2 linked regions of the Rattus norvegicus genome follow. The protein of the gene in region 1 purifies or fractionates together with the protein of each later gene. This does not show direct contact. Links are inferred from orthologs where the notes say so. Each region holds a gene or a part of one and is shown in the gene's direction. Other genes may lie near its edges.

Evidence for each region. The genes of interacting proteins can lie anywhere in the genome.
Region 2: the proteins of Kifap3 (region 1) and Kif3a purify together in Homo sapiens (co-immunoprecipitation; 9 studies listed by BioGRID and IntAct, counting the BioPlex papers as one, with this or other methods). This does not show direct contact. The link is inferred for Rattus norvegicus from reciprocal best matches to the Homo sapiens genes KIFAP3 and KIF3A.

The regions. Positions count from the first base shown.
Region 1 is NC_086031.1:78,795,692-78,798,362, forward strand, and holds the end of Kifap3 (kinesin-associated protein 3), read left to right. Parts: intron 1-793; coding exon 794-902; 3' UTR 903-2,130; downstream 2,131-2,671. UniProt on the Homo sapiens protein: Involved in tethering the chromosomes to the spindle pole and in chromosome movement. Binds to the tail domain of the KIF3A/KIF3B heterodimer to form a heterotrimeric KIF3 complex and may regulate the membrane binding of this complex.
Region 2 is NC_086028.1:38,257,695-38,260,574, forward strand, and holds the end of Kif3a (kinesin-like protein KIF3A), read left to right. Parts: intron 1-139; coding exon 140-264; intron 265-1,656; coding exon of another isoform or gene 1,657-1,660; exon of another isoform or gene 1,661-2,196; coding exon 2,197-2,245; 3' UTR 2,246-2,295; downstream 2,296-2,880. UniProt on the Homo sapiens protein: Microtubule-based anterograde translocator for membranous organelles. Plus end-directed microtubule sliding activity in vitro. Plays a role in primary cilia formation. Plays a role in centriole cohesion and subdistal appendage organization and function.

The DNA.
Region 1 (2,671 bases):
GAGCTATGCATGCATGAGCATGTTGAAGCCGCCCTAGCTGCCTGGAAAATGGACATCTTGCCTTTTTGTCAGCATTGGTGACTCTTTGCTAAGATGCTTTTGAAGAACAGATTTTCTTCTAACAGTTTATTCGTAGACAAAACAAAATTGTGAATTCAGAGTAAACTGTGTCTGTGCTGTGGGCTGTCTTTGTGACTCTAGGGCTTCTGCTTGCATAGAGTAAACCAGAGCATACAATTGTGTTGCTTTTACTAAAAAGGAAAAGATACACAATTTGGCTTTCAGAGTTTACAGACCAACTCTGGCTGGTTTGCAGGCCGTGTAGCGTTCTCTCTTGTTCTTTCAGACTCGTATAACTTAGATGTGTTGGGAGTTCACTGCTGATACTCAGATTGCATATCCTATTAATTGGGGGATCGTCTCTATTCCTCAGGACAGAGACCGTGCAATAGTCCGCAAACCCTTGCCATGCCATCATTCCCAGTGCAGTAATGCACTCACTGCTCGAATGTGATTTTCCCTAGTCCTTCATAATTTGTTCATTCAAATCGTTTTCAATTGAGTCTTCTGCTTTATGTGGAACAGACCCTCCAGACAGGTTTCTGATATTTGGACATATATTGTCAGAGGCATATATTTTATTGTGTACATTTTAATGAGAATATAAAAGGTTAATAATATCTTTGAAAATTATGTCGCTGTCAAGGAGTCTTTGAAGTGAGCTTCTGGGGTCCTGACAATGACCTGCTGTGGTTGAAAGCAGAGCACTTCTAACCTGCCTTTCTCTTTCCAGCCTTGGAATGGATGGCTTTGGTCAGCCAGTGGGAATCCTCGGACGCCCCGCCACCGCATATGGATTCCGCCCTGACGAGCCTTACTACTACAGCTTTGGGTCTCGATAAAATCACCCTCCCATGTATAACTCGGCTGAGGAGAGATCTGTGTGCTGTGGGCTAACCTTGAATCTTGACTTAATAATGCATGTTGTTCTCCTGTGGGGCTGCGTTGCTTATTTCTCCCCGCTGTTAGCTTCGGGTTAGCGCTAACCTCACGCCTTTCGTTGACATGGTTGATGCTCCACCGTTCACGCATCCAGCCACATCTTGAGGTGAATGACATTTCCCATGAGACTGCTGCAGAGCTGCTAGCCTGGAAAAGCAGATGCTACACCATTTACACTACGTGACTAATCTCTATTAAAAGGTGGCATGCCCGCAAAGGAGTGGGCCAAAGTCATGTGTTCATACTGTGTTTCACAGGAACCACTCATGTACATGGGATACACATACTTTTTTTTTTTTTGCGTTCTCTTTCTTTTTATAAACTCCTAGTGTTTCGTGTGAGCCATGCTGCCTTTACCTTTTATTTTAAATGAACCTCATTCTTTTTATCCCATGCTGTGTCTGGAAGTTTCTTTCACAAAGTTTTTAACTATATGAGTTTTTTAACTTAACAGTGAACACATGCTATAAGTAAGTTATGCACGTATAGACTAGCGAGTGACCCAGAGTCCTGACATGTTAACTGCAGCAGACACTGAGGAGCGGGATCCTCTGTGAGTGCAGCAGGAGCAACACTGAGCTTGTAAGTTTTGTTCTTCTGAGATGTACGATGTAAACTGTGAAGATGCTAAGTATTTTTGCCTTACCTAAGAAAATTAAGGAAAGGACTCTCTGTTCACTTAAGTTAGAAGTGGGTGGTGGGAATAAAAGGGACACAATGATTAATAATGGGTTTTGAAAATAATTCATTGATTGTAAAATACTGAAAACTTTCCTTGAGAAACCAAGCAAATGAATCCAATATGAGCACAGATCATCTCCTACTGAAGGAAACATACAATTCAGAACAGTGCAGGTCAAGGGGAAGATTTCTGCTTTTAAATTTAAAATCCCACTGATCCAAGTATACTGTTTACCTTAATTCACACGTTTCACAGAGTCCTGGTGCTGGGACGGTCATCTGCCTGAGAAATGTAAAGCTAAGCAACAGGTGTGCTCTCACCTGACACACACGGTAGTGTATGATCTGGGACGGCGTCTGTGTGTGCTCTACAACTCTGAATGCATGCAGCTATTGTCTTTGTTTCCCTTTACCCACAAAATATTAAAGCCAGAAAGGTTCGAATCAGCACTGTCCAACTCTCATTTTTACGACTAAAAAAAAAAATCTATGGTGAGAGCCAGTGGGATGACTGGGTAAGTAAAGTCACTTGCCACCAAGCCTGAAGTCCTGAGTTCAAGTCCCAGGACCTACGTGGTTGAAGGAGCAAGGCGATTGCTGCACATTGTCTTCATACATGCACCCTAACCCCACACTGTGACACACGTGCACCCTACATGAACCCCAAGACAACTACGTGTAAAATATTTTTTTAAACTGAGGTGAGATATTAATGACTTGCCCATGTTTCTATATTTAGTCAGTGGATTACCTGACTTGGTTTTCACTACAGCAGTCTTTGTACAGATGCTTCCCTGCTGCTTATCACATGTGTAGTCTATGTACACGTGCTGTCCATCACATGCACAGTCTATGTACACGTGCTGTCCATCACATGCACAGTCTATGTACACATGCATCCATCACATGCACAGTCTATGTACACGTGCTGTCCATCACATGCACAGTCTATGTACACGTGCTGTCCATCACATGCACAGTCTATGTA
Region 2 (2,880 bases), on another chromosome or scaffold:
TTGAGTACAGCGTGCATACTGGGACAGAAAACACCTTAAGGGTTATTTGATTTTCTCTTTAGTGGTTCTTCTGCCTCATGTCCGACAAGTTTTAAATCTTCCCCATTCTGGTTTAACATGCGTATGTGTTTTCTTGTAGCCATTTGAAGTAGACCTTTCCCACGTGTACCTCGCCTATACAGAGGAGAGTTTGCGTCAGTCTCTGATGAAGTTAGAAAGGCCACGGACCTCCAAGGGAAAGGCCAGGCCAAAGACCGGTAGAAGGTGAGCAGGTTGAGAAGGTAGATTCAGATACACTTAAAGGCAGTCAAACTTTAGTTGAAATGGCACAGTTTGAAATTATGTCTTTATGCAGTTACAATTTGATAAGCAAAGTAGAGATAAAGAATTGCACTCTGGGACAGTTGTGGTGGCAAACACCTTTTCCCAGGACGTGGGTGACAGCAGACTGAAGATCTGAGTTCCAGGCCAGCCTCATCTGCATTGCACATTCAAGATGGCCAGGGCTTCACAGTAAGACCTGTCTCAAACAAAACAGGAAAAGAGCAGCTCTTTCAGACTTCTGCCCCGGGAAGACCTTTCCTAGTGTTTACCCACCACCTACTCTCTTGTTGAGGGTCTTAATTTTTACACTAAGTCTCCTACTTAGATACTAATTAATTTGCCTAGTTTGATTCTCAAAAGACATTGCTCCAAGGACACTGATTTCCTAGATCTCAAGAGAAGCGCGTGTGACTCGCACCAGTTTTGATAGTTGTGTAGTCTGTGCTTCATCACTAAGCGCAGAGGCTTGGGGCTAATGCTCCCTGTGTTCCTACATTGAACTGATTTGAACCAATTACAAGACTTTTGTTTTACATGCAGGGTGGTTAATTGGTGTTACATAGTCTTTAAATGTAATACTAAAAAATCGAGATCATTAAACTAGGGCTTGAAGGAATCAGTTGCCTGTTAAAATATTACAAGAGTTTTGCATTTTGTAACATGTAGATGATTTAAAGATTTTTATATGCTAACTGAATCTGTACATGGAATCTTTAAATCTATAAGTATTATCTATATATGAGTGTCTCCCTGCATGCTTATATGTGTACCAGGCGTCAGGTCCCCTGGAGTGGTTGATTGAGAGCCACCATGTGAGTGTTGGGATGTGAGCTCAGGTCTTCAGAATAACAACAAATGCCCTTGAGCACCACACATCCCTGCAGCCCCACTGTTCTGCCATTGGAAGATGCTCGTCTCTGCTCGCCAGTTATTATGAAGATGCACTTCAAATGGGGCGAATCATAATGAGACAGTTGGCTTGACAGAGAAACAGGCAGAGCAGGGCAGGGGAGCAAGCTGGGAGAGAGGTTCTGTCCCTTGTTAGTGTGGGAACAGAGGCCCCATTATTACTGGACTATTGCCTTTTAAAAGAGGACCCAGGTGGGGTTGGGGATTTAGCTCAGTGGTAGAGCACTTGCCTAGGAAGCGCAAGGCCCTGGGTTCGGTGCCCAGCTCCGATAAAAAGAACCAAAAAAAAAAAAAAGAGGACCCAGGTTACTCAACTACATTTTTTAAACTGTATAGATCTTATAACAAATAGTTTGGCAAGCTGTTTTGATTTAGTTTTTATAATGCACCACTGTAAAATATATGCCTCTTGTTTAACTTAAGGTAAAGAAAATACTTGTGGGCCAACATATGATGCAGACTCTACTCTGTAACAGAATCCAGGCCTGGAAAAACCCCGTAGTTATCCTAAGAAATAAGAAAACAGAGCAGTGCTTCTTGAGAGGCCTGCAGTTGAGTGTGCTGGACAGCAACAAAGAAAGCCCATGACAGACTCCTATAGGCTCAGCGCCTGCACCTGGCAAGTGACTGCTTTTCCTGCTTCTCTGAGGCTGCCTGTACTGTTAGCGTCCTCGGAGGAGATGACCAAGGGGCATCCCTGATAAGTTTAGCTGCCACCTGACTGCACCTTGTCTGACCCCGCCTACGCTCAGCTGCTCACCACTCTGGAATACTGTGCTGTGGCAACCTGCTCTTGTGCTTGCTTTCAGTGACCTACCCTGGAAAAAATGGGTAGCAGGCGAACCTTGCTATGTCAAGCATGGGCAGTGTTGGTCCATTCCTGGACCCTGACCACAAAAAGTGTTGGCAGTTCAGTCTCTTAGGGAAAACCACTCACCTTGCATTTTTTTCTTCTCTTAACAGAAAGCGTTCTGCAAAGCCTGAGACCGTAATTGATTCTTTACTTCAGTAAATGTTACAGAATTAAAGTTACAATAATAATAATAAAAAGTGATATTCTCATGCCTGGAGAGAAGTCCTTAATTAAGACACGGAGGACACCTGTATGTTCACATAATAGAAGCTGTCAATGACGGAGAGAGACTGGAATAGCAGTTTTCCTAACATTTTTTAGACTCTTTAGTTTCTGTAACATGTAAGTGTGCAGCTCATGACCGCTGGGCATGGTGCACTGTCTGTCACACGCTCTGCAGGCAGTAAGGGCACTGTGGTTGTTCGTGACTGTGCGTCTCTTAGCTCTGTATTCAACGCCTGTGGCTCTAGACAAGCAGAGTCTCAGAACAGAACCCAGTCTGTCTTGTTTGCACCCAGCATATAGCAGATCTCCTTGTCCTGTGTCCTGTGCTGGGCTGCTCATCTGAGCAGAGACTTGGTCCTACACCTGCCTGGCCTGCCTAAGTGCAGCCCAACTTTATAGGAATATTAACTGCATCTAAGTGTGCAGTGACTGCCTTTATTGATCTCCGGTGGGAAATTGTAAAATCTGATAGCTTTTCAGGTTTACATTTTAATGCAGTTAAATACAGTTTGATCGTGCGCTTCACCTGTCCACCCGCCACTTCTGTCGCTCTGACTCCACACTCAGCC